Arabidopsis thaliana: one gene and its partners. The protein of the gene in region 1 binds, or shares a complex with, the protein of each later gene. Each region holds a gene or a part of one and is shown in the gene's direction. Other genes may lie near its edges.

What was found.
Region 2: CSN5A (region 1) and COP9 share a complex: the UniProt entries of both Arabidopsis thaliana proteins name them as parts of the CSN complex.
Region 3: CSN5A (region 1) and CSN6A share a complex: the UniProt entries of both Arabidopsis thaliana proteins name them as parts of the CSN complex.
Region 4: CSN5A (region 1) and CSN6B share a complex: the UniProt entries of both Arabidopsis thaliana proteins name them as parts of the CSN complex.

The regions. Positions count from the first base shown.
Region 1 is NC_003070.9:8,109,020-8,113,883, reverse strand, and holds CSN5A (COP9 signalosome 5A), read left to right. Parts: upstream 1-1,822; 5' UTR 1,823-1,988; coding exon 1,989-2,378; intron 2,379-2,505; coding exon 2,506-2,787; intron 2,788-2,873; coding exon 2,874-3,021; intron 3,022-3,124; coding exon 3,125-3,210; intron 3,211-3,736; coding exon 3,737-3,814; coding exon of another isoform or gene 3,815-3,886; exon of another isoform or gene 3,887-3,912; coding exon 3,913-4,002; 3' UTR 4,003-4,310; downstream 4,311-4,864. UniProt on the Arabidopsis thaliana protein: Probable protease subunit of the COP9 signalosome complex (CSN), a complex involved in various cellular and developmental processes such as photomorphogenesis and auxin and jasmonate responses.
Region 2 is NC_003075.7:8,132,363-8,136,532, reverse strand, and holds COP9 (COP9 signalosome, subunit CSN8), read left to right. Parts: upstream 1-1,544; 5' UTR 1,545-1,665; coding exon 1,666-1,749; intron 1,750-1,857; coding exon 1,858-1,937; intron 1,938-2,311; coding exon 2,312-2,493; intron 2,494-3,001; coding exon 3,002-3,109; intron 3,110-3,344; coding exon 3,345-3,484; 3' UTR 3,485-3,653; downstream 3,654-4,170. Other genes in the region: AT4G14120 (uncharacterized protein), read right to left, coding at 103-196, 286-534, 635-843, 982-1,348. UniProt on the Arabidopsis thaliana protein: Component of the COP9 signalosome complex (CSN), a complex involved in various cellular and developmental processes such as photomorphogenesis and auxin and jasmonate responses.
Region 3 is NC_003076.8:22,782,846-22,787,404, reverse strand, and holds CSN6A (COP9 signalosome subunit 6A), read left to right. Parts: upstream 1-1,799; 5' UTR 1,800-1,874; coding exon 1,875-2,172; intron 2,173-2,261; coding exon 2,262-2,350; intron 2,351-2,436; coding exon 2,437-2,530; intron 2,531-2,729; coding exon 2,730-2,791; intron 2,792-2,910; coding exon 2,911-2,989; intron 2,990-3,070; coding exon 3,071-3,163; intron 3,164-3,296; coding exon 3,297-3,397; intron 3,398-3,489; coding exon 3,490-3,545; intron 3,546-3,706; coding exon 3,707-3,788; 3' UTR 3,789-4,021; downstream 4,022-4,559. Other genes in the region: PEX5 (peroxin 5), read right to left, coding at 1-120, 217-345, 631-750; WRKY2 (WRKY DNA-binding protein 2), read right to left, coding at 4,268-4,559. UniProt on the Arabidopsis thaliana protein: Component of the COP9 signalosome complex (CSN), a complex involved in various cellular and developmental processes such as photomorphogenesis and auxin and jasmonate responses.
Region 4 is NC_003075.7:13,353,176-13,358,165, forward strand, and holds CSN6B (COP9 signalosome subunit 6B), read left to right. Parts: upstream 1-1,816; 5' UTR 1,817-2,053; coding exon 2,054-2,351; intron 2,352-2,431; coding exon 2,432-2,520; intron 2,521-2,607; coding exon 2,608-2,701; intron 2,702-2,796; coding exon 2,797-2,858; intron 2,859-2,948; coding exon 2,949-3,027; intron 3,028-3,118; coding exon 3,119-3,211; intron 3,212-3,401; coding exon 3,402-3,502; intron 3,503-3,631; coding exon 3,632-3,687; intron 3,688-4,069; coding exon 4,070-4,151; 3' UTR 4,152-4,420; downstream 4,421-4,990. Other genes in the region: WRKY34 (WRKY DNA-binding protein 34), read right to left, coding at 4,421-4,952. UniProt on the Arabidopsis thaliana protein: Component of the COP9 signalosome complex (CSN), a complex involved in various cellular and developmental processes such as photomorphogenesis and auxin and jasmonate responses.

The DNA.
Region 1 (4,864 bases):
TAATGAAATCCAATGTTATTAAACTAATAATTTAAAAATTAACTTTAAAATCAATTGTTATTGAAAACAGTTTGTGGAGTTGATTCTTATTCATCTTGAAAGATTTGAGAAAACTTCTTTAGTTACAAATACACAAATTCAAATCTCATGGTTTTAGATAGAATTTGAAAAGATTTCTATAATTTTAAGAAAGTTGATGTGATTAATTGTACAATCTTTTCAAATTCCATCTACAATCATGAGATTTGTTTTCAATAACAGTTGATTTAAAAGTAAATTTTAAAATCGTTAGTTCAATAACACTTGATTTTAATAGAGTTTTTAAAATCCATGATTGATAAATTTTACACAAATCACTTAAAATACTAGATTGAATACACTTCTACAAAATCATCAAAATCATATAACTACTTACCCTCCCCCTCCCACCCCCCTCTAAATTAACCGTCATTTTAACAAAAACTGCATGTAACAAAACTTTCAAATTTTACCGAATGTGACAAAACTTTCAAAACTGCATGTAACAAAACTTTCAAATTTTACCGAATGTGACAAAACTTTCAAATGGGACAACACTTTCAAAAACAGCAACATTTACCACATGTCACAAAACTTTCAAATTTTACTTTTATACTTTCACGTAATCTAATTCTATTACCACTTTGTTAGCAACCACTCCTTCCCCATGATCTCAAAATGTATCCTCTCCTCTAAACTTTCTTCCACTTTTTTTTTTATAAGTAATTGTAACAGTCAAACAGATGCATTAACTTCTTCTTTATTGCTCTTCTTTCTCACAAACTCAGAAGATCTTCCATTTTTTTTTTCAAAATCCAACTAAAGGCAATTATGTTTTATTTTGCCAAAATATTTTGATATATGATGTAATTTGGCATTTATTTTGTATCAGCATAGCAGGGGCGGCCATAATCTTAGTATATGCATATAATTGAGGCTGCTCTTAAATTTTAGCGTATTTATATTGTAGTGAATTCTTTGTCTTGTATAATATTTTGGATGTAGGACCTGAATGTTGGTACATGAAGACAATCTAATATTTTTAAAGCAGTTATCATTAAGCATTTAAGCAAGTAATGAAACACAACAACACGGTAGAAATTTAAGCAAGCACTTTGATGATCTCTCTCCTTAACTCAAAACATCTTTATAGTATTGTTGTGTTTCATTATTTGTTCTATGTTAATTGCTTTACAAATATTACACTGTGTCCTTGTACAAATATTTAGGTCTAATGCTAAAACTAATTTTTCTTTTGATTCGCAACACTCAAAATAAAAAACTGATCGAAAGCTAACCTTATGTTATACTCTCTGAGTTCTGACACAAACAAGAGAAGAAAAGAGAGGAAAGTGATTTAGATGCTTTGATCGATGATAGAATGAGAAGACAAAAGCTTGACTTTATAGCTAAAGATCAACGTCTATGCCATAAAGTCAAGCATAATTCACACAATATATAAGTTGAACATGCTATCAAAATAAGCTTACTACATTGGTGAAATTATGCATGTGTGGATATCTCAAGAAATATGCATGAGATGCATTACTCTTCTTTTACGCTTTGTGATTTAAGATATTGTATGCCAAATCTATGTGTTGCCAACATTGATTTCTATACCAATTGGTTGATACAATGACTGGAATTTATCCTTTGATTTGCCAACATTGATTTCTATAAAAGTTAAACAAACTAAAAATAAAAAGGGAAAAATATTTAATAAAAAATGTACAATATTAAATTTCCATAAAAATTTTATATGGTTAATGTTTTGGATTAGCATTAGTCCCCAAATCCCATATTAAGTAAATCCATTTTGAGTTTTGTTCTCGCAAACCGGTTTAACCCAAGAACCCAAAGATCTCTCTCTATTTGTTTGCCTTCTTCTTTCTTTCTGACTCAAACCCTCAAATCAATTCTCGCGATTAAGCAAAACCCTAGATTTATTCTACTCTTCGAAGTCGATTTCAATGGAAGGTTCCTCGTCAGCCATCGCGAGGAAGACATGGGAGCTAGAGAACAACATTCTCCCAGTGGAACCAACCGATTCAGCCTCCGACAGTATATTCCACTACGACGACGCTTCACAAGCCAAAATCCAGCAGGAGAAGCCATGGGCCTCCGATCCTAACTACTTCAAGCGCGTTCACATCTCAGCCCTTGCTCTTCTCAAGATGGTGGTTCACGCTCGCTCCGGTGGCACAATCGAGATCATGGGTCTTATGCAGGGTAAAACCGAGGGTGATACAATCATCGTTATGGATGCTTTTGCTTTGCCTGTTGAAGGTACTGAGACTAGGGTTAATGCTCAGTCTGATGCCTATGAGTATATGGTTGAATACTCTCAGACCAGCAAGCTGGTAAGATATCTCTTATTCATCTCTCGCTGTAGCTCCTTGTTTAATTAGCTAGTTGCTACTTGGATCCTTTATGCAAGATTTTGCGAGTGTTTGATTGATTGGTTATGACTGTAACTTTGAACTATAGGCTGGGAGGTTGGAGAACGTTGTTGGATGGTATCACTCTCACCCTGGGTATGGATGTTGGCTCTCGGGTATTGATGTTTCGACACAGATGCTTAACCAACAGTATCAGGAGCCATTCTTAGCTGTTGTTATTGATCCAACAAGGACTGTTTCGGCTGGTAAGGTTGAGATTGGGGCATTCAGAACATATCCAGAGGGACATAAGATCTCGGATGATCATGTTTCTGAGTATCAGACTATCCCTCTTAACAAGATTGAGGACTTTGGTGTACATTGCAAACAGGTATGTATAATTCTTATTTATCGATTTTAAAACTTGGGAGGGTTTTAATCATCGATCTTATGATTCATTTTTTTTGTATGTGGCAGTACTACTCATTGGACATCACTTATTTCAAGTCATCTCTCGATAGTCACCTTCTGGATCTCCTTTGGAACAAGTACTGGGTGAACACTCTTTCTTCTTCCCCACTGTTGGGCAATGGAGACTATGTTGCCGGGCAAATATCAGACTTGGGTAAATTCTTGTATATATGAAAGAGCAAGTTAATTTACTTTTCATCCAGGTCGTAGTTTGATATATCCTCTTTTCTTACCATTTAATTGTTTACATGATGAAGCTGAGAAGCTCGAGCAAGCGGAGAGTCAGCTCGCTAACTCCCGGTATGGAGGAATTGCGCCAGCCGGTCACCAAAGGAGGAAAGAGGTTTGTCTAAATGGTTGCTTTAGCAAAATTATTTGTTATGTTCTCAATGTTTATTGACTGTCTGAGATACTGGACCATGATCTTGAGCTCATACACTTGCCACTTTTCAAGCTTGTTCCTGTGTAGAAACTTTTCATTTGGCTAATTAACTGCTACTATCAACATCTAGCAACTTGGATTAAATTTGAACTTTTTATTCTTAGGCATTATGTTGACTGGATATTGACTAATAGAAACTCTACCTGCAAAACACTATGTTTTACCTTTTCTGGGTTTGAAATTTCACAATTGAGTGTATGTTTAGTCAAAAATATACAGAGCTATTAAAGTTTGAACTAGTAAAACAGGGAGACTTTGATGTATCAATTTGTCAACGAGTTGTTGCCAATAGTCTATGTCTGCTTCCTAGAGTTCTGTTATCTCTGGCTGTGTGACTCATTTTGATATTGTTTTAATCTTCTTTACATAAAAACATTTGTTTTGGAGATTACATTACCTAAGTATATGTGTTGTGGACCACTTTCAGGATGAGCCTCAACTCGCGAAGATAACTCGGGATAGTGCAAAGATAACTGTCGAGCAGGTCCATGGACTAATGTCACAGGTGAGTAAATACAATCTGACAATGCTGATCCTATTTCCCCTTGCGGTTAATGGATCCATGAAATTGACTTAAAAAGTCTTTCATCCATCAATGTGCAGGTTATCAAAGACATCTTGTTCAATTCCGCTCGTCAGTCCAAGAAGTCTGCTGACGACTCATCAGATCCAGAGCCCATGATTACATCGTGAAGTTGGTCTATTCTTTTGTTTTTTGGCTGCGGAAATTGACTATCGGTTTGACCCGGTTTATGAGGCAATGCCCATTGTTCCCTATATCTCTAGTGTAGTATCTGCTTCAGACAAAGATCTTTGGGTTATTAAATGACATTAACATAAATCGATCATTATGTTTTTGCGTTTGACTATCTTGATTTAGTGGTATTAAAAACCAAATTCCAGATACACACGTGATGTCACAGTAATCATGTGCCTGTTACGGAACCATGTGCAAAAAATTGACACAAGCATACAAATGTTCTCCAACGATTGAAGCAACAATGATTCTAGGCCCTCTTTTCTTTCTGTTCTTCATCACATGAAATTCATCAGGATGTTGTTTTTCACATTTATGTTTGAACAGCATTTCTTTTGTTAAAAGCGAACAAATTCTATTCTAAAACCGAAATTGTCATTACAACAAGACCACGATTTAAGGGTACTAAAAGCGGATTAAGATTTCTGCATTCGAACAAACTGACTACTAAACGAACATCAGGCCGAGAAAACAGTCGGTAGGAAGAGATAACGTGTGAAGTTACTTGAGTAGGATTAAGAGTAAGGTAGTAGTAATTGATAGAAGCTGCGTGGGGCTTAATCAATAATGACATCCTCACTTAACCAGCATTACTGGAAAACAAGAATAAGAAACCACATGATGATGTCAAAGACTTTTTGGGCCTTCGCGTATCCCTAAATGGGCCTATTTACGGCCTAATACTTGTCTAATGTATAGTTGGGTAGAACAAGAAGGTCCGAGAGTTCGAAGCTTAAGCCATTCTATCTTTTCTGGGGATCTAGAAGATCCAAATGATCAAAGAAGATATTATGAAAA
Region 2 (4,170 bases), on another chromosome or scaffold:
ACTATCTTACAATTTACCAAGCCACAGAAGACAGTATTATTATCTGACTAGTACTGACATTGAATTATACCGTGTGCTAAACATGAATATAAAGAGACTAACCATGATTATCCTCTGAGTTCTCTTTGAGATATGAAAGCATTCTTCTGTAATTTACAGAACCTGGCACTTTAAATAGCTTGCGCCGGCAGCACAGCTGTTTCATGTCACAACAGGGAAAATGTCAAAAACAGATTCTTAAATAAGGAACAAGACTGCAGCTTCTTAAAAAAAAACAGATCATACAGAAATTTTGTTGCCACTGGATGAAGTCATCTTCTTGAAAGGGCTATTGTTTCCATGAGCTTTAACAAAGCTATTGGCAGATACGGTTTCAGGAAGTCGGTAATTTGCTGCCATCAATTCACCTCTTTCATCCTTAGGATCTTTTGCATCACCATCTCGGGTAACATCTGCAGCTTCCATCAAGTAAGGAAGCATTCTTCTATAGCTCACAGAGCCAGGGTTCTTGAAAATCTTTTCCGGATGACGAATCTGTATACATATCACAAGAAGAAAATTAAGCAACCAACGAAAAGCCAATATTGTAGTTTAAACGCATCATTTGCTATAAAACCATGAGTAAAAAACATACCACTTTGCTGCCGAGATTGGTACCAACTTTCTTCCCAGAGACCTCACTGATCTCTTGATTGATAGAACCTGCTTCATTTTTCACCAAAGAAAGCTCACCGGTGAACATTCCTAAATCCGGTGGCGTCGTTTGTGAGCATTCCACTACTTCTAAATCACCTCCAGTAGCCACTAATCCATCAACAAGATATTTGCTTCCTTCTCTCATAACTGTTTTCACCATTGTGTAATCATTATAGTTTCTAAACAGATATTGAAATTTCCTAATTCCACCTTCATTATATCAACATTCTCCTAAATTTTCTTAGAAAAACTTGTACAAGAAAAAGACCTTAAAATAAGAATTACCATTAGAATTCGGAGTATCGCAAGGAGATTCCACATTTAGCTCCTTGGTTAGATTTCCCCCTTTCACATGAAAGTCCCAATCACTAGAGATGGAACTAGGAGAGAATACGCGTCTGAGACACAGATTCTTCACGGTGACACGAGAACAAGTTCGGGGCATTTGAGTAACAATTTTCCCTTTGATCGGTGACGCATGATGGTGACGAAGATCCGTGACAATGTGAGACAATGGGGATGCAAATCGAACGGAGGAACGATTGCTCTGAGTTCGTAATTTGCTTGCCATAAGGTTCTGAGAGGTAGTATAACGAACTGAAGAAGACGAAAATCGCATCTTCTTCCTCAATATAGGATCTGATTCGGCCATGGTAGAACTCGCGCCAAGAGAGAGCTACAGAGAGAGAGAGAGAGTGTGTGTGAGAGTGAGAGAGACTGTTTGTTATTTTGGCGGGAACAGACCGGGTGGCTTTATGATGTTTGGCGGGAAACTAAGGCTTAGTGGGCTTGGCCCATTTATCCTCTTGTGTTTGGTCAATTTTTTGGTCGGTTTAAGTAAACCGTATTGAAAAGATTATTAAAACCTGTAAATCTCACAGAATTTATTTTTCTTTTCCCTGGAGTGGTTTTGGGAGTAGAATTGTCATCTTCGCAAAAGCTTCGAGAGTAGTGCAATCGAAACAAGTCATGGATCTTTCGCCTGTTAAGGAAGCTTTGGCCGCCAAATCCTTTGACAAAATCGCCGATATCTGCGATACTCTCATGCTTCAGGTTCGTAATTTCTCTCGCTGTCGTTGTTTCTGATGTTCATTAGGGTTTTGTGAAGTGGATTTTGTGGTGTTAATCGTTCGATTTATCGCTTCTTAATTTTTTTTATAGGTTGCTTCCGAAGGAATTGAATATCATGATGATTGGCCTTACGCAATCCATCTTCTGGGTTACTTTTACGTTGACGATTGGTGAGTTTATTTTCTTCTTTGATGTATTTGTTTGCGTTGTGAACCTAAAGTTAGTTCCTTTATGAAATTAGAGATTGTTTCGTTGAACTCTTGTGAATTTTAGCGCGTCAAAGTTGTTCTTACTACTTCGATTGCTAGGTCCTAGGTTGAATCTAAGGTCTAAAGTCTGCTTTTTACATTACCTTGTTTCTATCCAGTGATTTGAAAAATTAAAACTTGACACAAGTTAGTAGTTGTTGAGACCCATTTAACATTTTTTTCCTTTGTGTATTGATAGTGAGTGTAGTATGTTGAAACTATTGAGTTATGGTTGTGCCTTCTTGACTATGGATTTGGTTTTGATGTTTTGCTGTGCTTGTTTGGAAATACTGCAGTGATAGCGCACGTTTCCTCTGGAAAAGGATACCTACAGCTATCAAGGAGAGGAAGCCTGAAGTTGTTGCAGCTTGGGGGATTGGTCAGAAGCTGTGGACACACGACTATGCAGGTGTATATGAAGCTATTCGGGGTTATGATTGGAGTCAAGAAGCTAAAGATATGGTTGCTGCCTTCTCAGGTAAATTTTTTCTCTGTTTATGACTTCTTAGCTAGTATGAATTGGTTTCTTGAACTAAGCTTGTTGATTGCTTATGTAGTTGTGTACTTTTATTACTTCATATCCCTCTTTAGGTTTTGAGCTTTGATATACATATTGAGATCGAATAGTTGTTTTATTGTTTTAACTTGTGAGGCCTAGTTTAGGATTTCTGTTATGCACAGAACCACCTTTCATCTTATCATTGAACTATTGGAACTCGAATTTGAATCAAATTTCATCAATGTATGTGCCTTATCACTTCTTCATTAGAAAGTAGTTGCTTCTGTGGTCTAACTGAGAGAGAGGTAGGTAGACTCACACAGGAGGAACGAGTAAGCAGTTGACAGACTTTTCCAACCAAATGTCTAAACGTTGATCTGAATTTTGTGAAGTTGTACCTTTTTCCACATCAATTGTTCAACACCTGACCTTTATGGGTCACTTTCCATCAGATTCTAATTCTATTTCTGAATTGGTTTTGTTGTAGATCTTTACACAAAAAGGATGTTTCAGCTTTTGTTGTCTGCCTACTCCACAATTACCATCCATGATTTAGCTCTTTTCCTAGGGATGACGGAGGATGATGCCACAACTTGTAAGCTTCTTTCTGCAATTTCCTTTGCTTACAAAAGATTAAGTACCTCATTTCACATTTCTATTGAATTCTACTGAATTGATTCTTATATTGATACTTTTGAAAAATGTCGAAGAGTTTGTGGCAATGTCTTAGCTTAGTGTTATTGTAGGCATGAATCTTATGACAACCATATATGTTACGGAATCAGAATTAACAGTATAATTGTTTTCTTTATTGCTGGATATATACACAGATGTTGTAGAGAATGGATGGACAGTGGATGCAGCTTCTCAAATGGCGAGTGTGAAGAAACAAGCTGTTAAAAGAGAGCAAAAGGTGGATTCATCGAAGCTACAACGCTTGACGGAGTATGTGTTCCACCTTGAACATTAAAACTAAGTGCCGATCTCCTATTAAGATAGTGAAATTCTAAGAACAGAATTCGTTTTTGAGAGATTTCACAATGACTGATTCTAAGTTGCAACATATCTTGACTCTTTGAGTATATGATGAATAACTCCTACCAATTTTACTCTTATAAGATCAGTTTACACCAACAGGCGAACTAAAACAAACATTTAAAAGATCAGTTTACACAAAAGACGAACTGAAACAAACAAAAGATGAAGTCAATATTATGAGCCAAAAAGGACACAGCCTAAATAACACACGTTTTCAGAACAAAATTAGGCAGAAACAAGAGAAGATCATTTTAGCGACTATAACAAGCTAGCCAATCTCTGAGATAAAAGATGATAATCTTCAAACCGGAGAGGTACTCTAGAAGAATAGGAGCCATTTGTCGATCTAGTAGATGACAAGCTGGGGTTATCAGAGATTAATAATTCTTAATTTATTATTAAATTATCGATAAATGAACAATTTTAAATTTATTGAGAGATTTTACTATTCTTTTATAATTTTTAAAACTGGTTTATGTGAAAAGCAGTTTTTGTAGTTATAATCAACATCCTTTTAAAAATAATGAAAAATATAAAAAGTAAATAATTATTAAGTCTAGAAAACAAAAAGAAAAAAAAATTGATACTGTAGAAATATTAGAAATAAACTCTTCAAAA
Region 3 (4,559 bases), on another chromosome or scaffold:
CTGAACTGGCTCAAACATAGGTCCCATTGGAGGCATAGGTCCACCTTGCTGTACCTCATCCCAAGCTGCACCCAAACCATTCTGATCAACAGAGCGAAAACCACGGAAGAACTCTGACCCCTAATGTAAAAATTGCAAACCCATCAGCCATCACAGAGGCTAGATAATCAGAGTCAATACTACCATTGTAAAACCAAAACTTTCCACAACATTAACCTGAGCACCCGGTTGCAGAAGTGGCTGATCTAACTCAGAACCAGGAAGTGACCTTATCTGTTGGTCTTCAGAGTAAAATTGTGGCCGAGGACCTGACCGGTTTGCATTAGGTATCTCCTTGAGCCTTTCCTGCACAACAAATCACCAATCATCAACATTTCTTCAAATTCTCAGGAAATTTTAAACCTTTAAACAATTGTCAGCCAAATCACTTGACATAATCGAAGAACGTCTAAAACCCTAACACTACGGAAAGAAAAATCGAAACTTGGCAAGCAAATAACAAAACCCAACGAAAAATGAGATCTAATTCGACTTCTTAGTTCCAGGAGAACCAAGGAAAAGGCGAAGAATGGAATCAGGAGACTTCAAATGTCAACACTGTTTCGATCAAAAAGGAATCAGGAAGCTAACCTGGGTTTTGGAAGACGAACCAAGTAAAGCGTTGGTGAGAGCTCCGAGAGGATTAGAAGAAGAAGACGAACCAGGAACGGCACAAGCGGCTCCGCCGTTAACAAGGTCTCTCATCGCCATGTTTCCAACGGGTTTCTACTCCTCCGCCGCAATCACCGTCGTTGAATCTATCAGTATGGTTTCCTCCGTTGTCCGGAATTGATCATCAACCTCCCAAATCCTAATCTTTAGTTTGGCTCGTCTCGTGGCGGTGTTTTTTTTGTTTGTTGTGTTTGGTCACAGCTTCGTAAGAAATTATTAAATTTTTTGATAGTATTTTGGTAATTAATATTTATATATTATCCACACCACACACATTTTTAGGCTCACCAACACATTTTTGTTTAGTTATTTATTTTTGTGAAAAAACCGTTTTTTACAGTATCCGTAATTAAAAATGAATTGTTGTGAATATAGTTTTTTTTTATCTTTCTTTATCAAGATATGTTTTATCTTTTTGTCCGATTTGCTGCCACTTTTGAATTTTGTAGTTTCCTATTAGTGTTGAATTATATTTGCTTGATCATACCAAAGATAAATAAATTATATTGCTTGATTTTTGCTGGGTTTAGTTATATTTCTTGATTGATTGTGCAATGCGTTACAAACGAAGGTAGATTCTACTCTTGTACTCATATCACACATTTGGACGACCAACATGACTTCACTAATTTCATCAATAACTAAAAAAAAAAAAAAAATTCATCTACATCAACAATAGTTACAATATGCTAGGCATCTCTAGATTTTTTTTTCCTTTCATTAACTTGCAAGAATTTACACACTAGAAATCAAACATTTTGTGGAAAAAATTATAACCTTTAGTCTAACCACTGAACTATTGAACTTTCATATTGAAAAATTTGATGAATGTTGTCTGTTTTCAAATTTCTAGTACATTTTTTGTCAACTTCAGATATCTGATTTTATGAGTCTCAATCGTTTGGTTTATCTTATTTTCGTTTGTTAATTAATATAATTAGTTTCCAAAATGAAAAAATGTAATTGGAAAAACAAGTCATGAGGCCCAACCGCATATATAAGTCCTACGCTCGGCCCATACAGAAAAAACTAATATCCATATAGTTGACCCGGAAGACCCGATCTAGGATCCGAATCCACATTGATTTAAATAAAAAAAATCTTCATAAAAAAACTAAAAACCCAAAAACCAAAGAATTCATCAAAGGAGAGAGAGATCGACAATGGCACCTTCGTCATCAAGCGGTTTAACCTTCAAGCTACATCCTTTGGTAATCGTCAACATATCGGATCACTACACTAGGGTCAAAACTCAGCTCAATCCTCCTGCTTCAATCTGCGCAAGCGGCCATGGCTCAAACAACGGCGAAGCAATGTTCCAGCAAAACCCTAGGGTTTACGGATGTGTGATCGGTGTCCAGAGAGGTCGTACTGTTGAGATATTCAACAGTTTCGAGCTTTTATATGATCCTTCTACTCAAACCCTTGATAGATCTTTCCTCGAGAAGAAGCAAGAGCTCTGTAAGCTAAAGCTCACTCTTTTTATTCTCAACTATTGATGCAATCGTAAATTAAAGTTTGAACTTTTATCTGGTTTTATTGTTTATTAGATAAGAAGGTGTTCCCTGATTTCTATATTCTGGGATGGTACTCTACGGGAAGTGATGCTGAGGAATCTGATATGCATATCCATAAAGCTGTGAGTCCAATGCTCTCTCTAGTATTTTTGTATAATTGAGATTTGGTCTCTAAAAGTGTGGTTTTTGTGTCTGCTCTTGGTGACAGTTGATGGATATCAATGAATCTCCTGTTTATGTGCTTTTAAACCCTGCTATCAATCACACACAGAAGGATCTTCCAGTGACTATTTATGAAAGTGGTATGCTTCTTATAATGTCATATGGTTCTGTGGGTACATTCTGATATGTTAGCATGTTAGTATAGGTATATGCGTAGTTCAGAGTTTCTAGATATCTTCCCAAGTCTTTATCTTTATTGACTTCCAGATTTAGGTCAGATTGTTTTACAAGATCCTAACTTTTCTCTTTGTTTCATTGATTGATCTTCATTACTTGAAGAATTGCATGTCATTGATGGAATCCCGCAGCTAATTTTCGCTCATACAAGCTACACAATCGAGGTCTGTGCTTAAGTTTGATTCTGCAAATAATTTTTTTTTTTTTTGTCAAACATTCTGCAATTTAATCTATGTTATGAAAGTGTACATTGACTAAGATTTTGAGGTGTTATACAATGTAGACAGTTGAAGCTGAACGGATATCAGTTGATCATGTTGCACATCTTAAACCATCTGACGGAGGCTCAGCAGCAACCCAGTGTGAGCCTTATGTCACTAATACATATCATACTCCACTTCCTGAGTCTTACTGTTTTTGGCTGATTATTCGTTCATATGCAGTGGCTGCTCATCTTACTGGTATACATAGTGCCATCAAGATGCTTAATAGCAGAATCAGAGTGCTTTACCAAAATCTTGCTGCAATGCAGAAAGGTATATTCTGTTCTTTCCCAAGTTCCGATTCTTATCACCGTGGTTTCATGTTTACCAGTCCAGGATTCTAGCTGAAGATAGTCAAAGTTGTGTAAGTGTAATAATTTATCTGCCAACTCATTTATGTGTGTAGGTGATAAATCTTGTGACAACTCAGTTCTGAGACAAGTATCTAGCCTGCTAAGAAGATTGCCTGCCATGGAATCAGAGAGATTTCAAGATAATTTCTTGATGGTGAGTTAGTTAGATCTGCACTTGATTCTTTTCAGTGTAGCTTATTGTCTGAGATATTTCGCAACTTATGCTGGCATTTTTTCTTTTTGCAGGAGTACAACGACAAATTACTAATAACTTACCTAGCGATGATTACAAATTGTTCCAGGTTTGTACCTAATGCAACATTCTAAAGTATTTGAAAGCAAGTATATAGGCTAGCGAATGCTCTTTAACTAGTGGTTCTTTAGGAACTGTGAAAGATACGGTTTTCACCGGGCTGGTGGATTCTGTTATATCAGTTAATAATTTTGTTTGCTCAATCTGCAGCAACATGAACGAGATGGTCGACAAATTCAACACCGCATATGACAGAAACACTCGAAGAGGTGGAAGAACTGCATTCATGTAAAAGATCCTTTCCAGCGATTCTAGTTCTAAAGATCTTCTCTTGGTTCCTGAAACCATTTTTAACATTGCCTCTGTGAGAATCTATAACTCAGACGGCAAGACTTTATCCTCTTCATTGTTTCTATATCTATAAGAACATCTGCTTATCTATCAAAGCTCTTGTTTGATCTTGAACAAGTTTCTATTGTTAGTAAAAAGATTTTAAGGTTTGATTCTATCAGTCTCTCTAGTTACATCCACATCAGTCTCCAGTTAGCAATTGCAGTATTGCTACACAACACTCACTTTTTTCTTCTTTGTTGATTTCAATATAAGATAAAGAACCAGTAAAAAAGAAGACAAAACCAAGGAATGAACAATAAAACAGCCTTTACCTTCCCCAAAGTTTGAAACCAATAAATGAAAGAAGAAGAAGAAGCAGAAATTAAAAGTTATTATAAGGAGTGACCAAATGCAGAAGAAGAAGAAGAAGAGTAAATTTCAAATCTGAGGTAATCTACTCATGATCTGGTTATATACCGATTGTCCTGAATCTGAAACCGGTTCAACCTTTGGTTCCATCCCTCTCTGCATCATTGCTTCACTCATCCCAACCGGTTGTGTCATATACGGGTGAGGCAAACCCGGCATTTTCCCTTGACCATACGCTAAACCAGGCATTGAAAGATTAACCAAACCGGTTTGTCCTAAACCGAAGGAGAAACCAGAAGGAGGACCCAAATGTGGCTGAAAGCTAAAGGGACGGCTAAAAGGAGACTGATTGTTAGTTGTG
Region 4 (4,990 bases), on another chromosome or scaffold:
TGCTTAATTTCATCAGTGTTTTCCAAGCAATTTTGAATTAAGGATTAATAAAATTGTTATGTATATTATGAAATAATGAAGATATTTCGCTATCTCTAGAGTCTAAAGAGATTAGCAGTTGGTGCCTTGGTGGTTGACAAAAGAAAAGAAGAAGAGATTAGCAGTTGCGTTTAACATTGGTTTTATCTAGAAAGATGAACTGATGGTTACATATAAAACTAGTCGTTGTCTGTCAGTGTCCACTAAAGACTATTTTCTTCTTTTGATATACATTTCTAAATATACAACAATATCATTTCTCCGAGGTTTGTGAATTGTTTAGGTATAAAATAGTTTTCTACAATAACTTTTGCTATCGGGTGCAAAGACATTCTACCATAGAACGAGTTTAGTATAGTGTCATTTCGTAGATTCTTTATTCGGATTGGTTTTTCAATATCAACAAAATTCTGGTTCATTTTCTTCCCTCCTATAAACGAAGGTAAAAAGAATGAAGAAAAAAGAAAAGAAAGAATATTTTGTTAATGCATTATCTAACGTGTTAATGTGTCACTTTCATTTTTCTTAATCGTTTGTTGAAAACTTTTTGCAGTTGATTTCAGGAAAACGGAACACACATATATATATATATATGTCTTTTATTTTCAATACGGACCAAATCCATCATTTGCTAATCAGTGAGAAAACTAAATCGTGGTCTACTAGTTTATATAAATTGAAAAAAGAATCATAAATAATATGTCACATATCCAACCTAAAGATTTATGTCTATACATGTAAAAATGTAAATGAGCATATTCCCAAATTTCCCACAAGTATATAGCACTACCTACACTCACGCTTCTTCAAAGTGAAGGCGATGGTGGAAAAAAGCGTAGACGATGACTTGATAAGATTGACTGAAGAAAAGAAAAAAAGTTATCATAAGTCAAAAAGCATGTCGTTAGAGTTTGACGAGATCCCATGCATGATTATATTGTCGGATACAATTGTTTGAACAATACGGTTGGAAAAATCTACCGTAATATGAAGACTTGAATGACATAACTAAAGATTGTACCTTGCAAGCCAGCAATGTGTTAATGATATGAGTAAGGGTGCAGAGGCTGCGGCTGGTGGCTACTGGCTAGTGATAAGCAATTTACGATGTAATGACAGATATATCATAGGAGACTAGGAGTTATATATGGTATATATAGAATCTAAAATAACATATTTATCAATTTACTATATTAAGTTTTATGGTTCCAAACTCAAAACTAATTGTTTATGAGTAGATTTGGTTTATATACTGTATATTACTCATATTCTATTTCCACTTTTAATGTGGGATTTCTCATAAACTATATACAGTTATATTTTTAATTAATGAAATAACAATAATACAGATTTAAATGTAGCCTTAACTATTTTTATGAAATTTAAATGAAATTTAATTTAAAAGATTGCATTCAGAATACAAAACTGTAATATTCTGTAAAATATTGATAGGTACTACTTACAACATAGGAAACATATTTAAAGATATGTTATATAAACTAAAAATAGTTTAAAATATCAATATATATATATATATATATATATATTACGAAAAGAAGAATTAAAACAGACTACACACATAATAAAATTTTAATAGTAACACTTACAAACATATCCAATAATATTAAATAAAATTAATTCATTATGATCTTTATGTTATTTCTATATACTCAAACCAAAAAAAAAGAAGTAAATGATTCAAAATCCAATCATAATTATTTTTCAAATTCATTAAAATACAAGAAATTTCATATTAAAAAAATAGATATTTCTTTCAAAGATTTATATTCAAATTATAAATATATACTAAAACGCTAAAAAATTAAGTACATGCTATAATCTTTTCCATTATTTTTCTAACAAAAGAAAGTTATATATGGGCTAAACTTAGAAGGAAAGCCCAAGAGGCCAAGACTATATAAAGATTCATGACCCGAGTTTAAGATCCGATTTCAGAATTTGGGACTAAAGGAGGACAACGACAAGCGCCGGGAAAAAATCGAGAGCGACAACAATGGCGCCTTCTTCGTCGAGCGGTCTCACGTTCAAGCTACATCCTCTGGTGATGCTTAACATATCCGATCACTTCACTAGGGTTAAAACTCAGCTTAATCCTCCCGCCGCTTCTTGCGCCACCGGGAATGGCTCCAACAACGCCGACGCGATGTTACTGCAAAACCCTAGGGTTTATGGCTGCGTCATCGGTCTCCAGAGAGGTCGTACGGTTGAGATCTTCAACAGTTTCGAGCTGATATTCGATCCTGCTCTTGATACTCTCGACAGATCCTTCCTCGAGAAGAAGCAAGAACTCTGTAAGTTTACTTACACTCGCTCACTTTTGTTGTCGATTGTTTGATACTCTTGCTAATTTGTGAGTTTTGTTATTTTTTAGATAAGAAGGTGTTCCCTGACTTCTACGTATTGGGATGGTATTCTACGGGAAGTGACGCTACCGAATCTGATATGCATATCCACAAAGCTGTGAGTAGTGTAGCTTTAATGTTTAATATAAATTTAATTGAATTTAGGATTCTCATTGTACTGATTTGTTGAGGTTTTCATCTACAGCTGATGGACATTAATGAATCTCCTGTGTATGTTCTTTTAAATCCTGCTATCAATCATGCACAGAAGGATCTTCCTGTGACTATCTACGAAAGCGGTAAAAATTGGTTATTTGCATCACTGATTGTCTTATTGTTTTATAGATTATAATCTTGCTAATCCTGTCTTTTTGATTGTTTTCAAAATTTGAAGAATTTCATGTCATTGATGGAATTCCTCAGTCGATTTTCGTGCATACCAGCTACACAATTGAGGTATGTGTTTAGGCCACTTGATCTGTAATCTATCTATGTGATATGAGAGTGGACTTTCAATAACATTGCAATGATTGTAAACGCGTGCAGACAGTTGAAGCTGAAAGAATATCTGTTGATCATGTTGCACATCTTAAGCCATCTGATGGAGGCTCAGCTGCGACTCAGTGTAAGCTTTATTATCACTTCATATTTATCATAATCTGTTCTTTCTTTTTCATCTGCATGGAATTTTAGGTTGATTCCTCGATTTTGTGCAGTGGCTGCTCATCTTACTGGAATACATAGTGCCATCAAGATGCTTAATAGCAGAATCAGAGTGCTATACCAGCATATTGTCGCTATGCAGAAAGGTATATTCTTGCTCAAGTCCCCACTCTCGGTCCCTCTTCAATTTGTTAATCAAGCTTTTGTGACCTGTCCCTTGATCTTAGAATATTTCTATGTGTTTTCCTACGGGGAAGAAAGAATTAAAAGGGTGTTAGAAGATGATTTTGAGCAAGAGTAATGTGGTACTAATGACTTATGTGATTCTGCATCTAGGTGATAAACCTTGTGAGAACTCAGTTCTGAGACAAGTATCTAGTCTGCTCAGAAGTTTGCCTGCCGCAGAATCAGAGAAGTTCAATGAAAATTTCTTGATGGTAAGTAGTACCTTACCTTTTTCTAGCAATGTTGGTTAAATAAAGTGGCCTTCGAATCTCTTAAATTCTTAATGTAGCTTGTTGTTGTGAATGATATCTTTATAAATATGATGTTCTCTTCTTTTGCAGGAGTACAACGACAAATTGCTGATGTCTTACCTAGCAATGATCACGAATTGTACCAGGTATGTGCTCGACACGCTATTCCATTTAACTATTTGAATAAAAGAATGATGGACATGCATGCAAATCTTTTGCTTGATACAATGCAATGTTTTACGATACCAAGACAGATGAAATCACCAGTACTTGGTTGAGGCTGACATTGAGATAGTTTGTTTTATTTAGATTAAGAACTAAATCTAGGACCTTGCTCAATTATCCTTGTTATAATTAAGATACTGAGCCTGTAGTAGCTAAGGGAATATAAGCTTCTTTTTAAAAAAAAAATCTAATCTTGTGCTACACCTTGACCAATCCATATGTCAATTTCATTCCAACGAAATGTCCTGAAAGAATCCTTTGTATATTTGATCTCTTACTCTCCTTTTTCCCCCCAAAATGCAGCAACATGAACGAGGTGGTTGACAAATTCAACACTGCATACGACAAACACAGCCGAAGAGGTGGTAGGACTGCGTTCATGTAAAGATTAGTTTCAATGTAAAAAAACCTTTTCTTTCTTTTGGTGGTCTGGTCCCTAAGTGAAAATTTAGAACTCTTTTAAGGCATTTCACTTTTCGGAACCAAACAAACAGCTAGGAAGCTTTTCTTCTGTTTAAGCTTTGTCTAGACAGAAGCTAAGTTTAGGCCTAACTAAATTTTGCGACAAGACTGTAAAAACAAAACAGCTTTTACCTTCTCTCAATTTTTCATTTATTCAAAAATTTGAGCAATCAGTGAACAAAGAGATTTGTTTCATATCTGTCGTAATCTACTCAACATCTCTCTGCATATCAATGAGCTCGCTGACAAATCAAGTCCCTGTTGTGGTGACACTGGTTCCACCTTCGGCTGTGCTGCTAACTGCAACATTAGGCCAGTTGGATCCCCAATGTCAGGCGCCTGCAGGCTGGTAAGCTTCTCTTGCCCAATAGTTAGACCAGGCATTGAAAGATCAGAAAGCTCAGATTGGCCTATGTAAACGGAGAAACCTGTAGGATGCCTCAGGTGTGACTGGAAGTCAAATAGAGATGAGTTGGCTGTGGCCAGTCCCTCAGATCTACTGTGTGGCATTGGATAGTGCACATTGTGGTTGTGGGTCTGAGTCGCTAAACTGCCTTGGAGAGTCCCTGAACTGCCTGCACCGACGTGGCTGCTGTTGCGTGCTGCTGGTACAACGTGGGTGTGCTTGCCTATATAAGTTGTTAGTACGCTCTTGAAGTCATCAGAGGCTCTCTCTACATGCTTCGTTACGGTACATCCATTAGCTGTGCATTTATAGTAGCTCCTGAAAACATAGAAAACTGATTTTATTAAATTCAACAA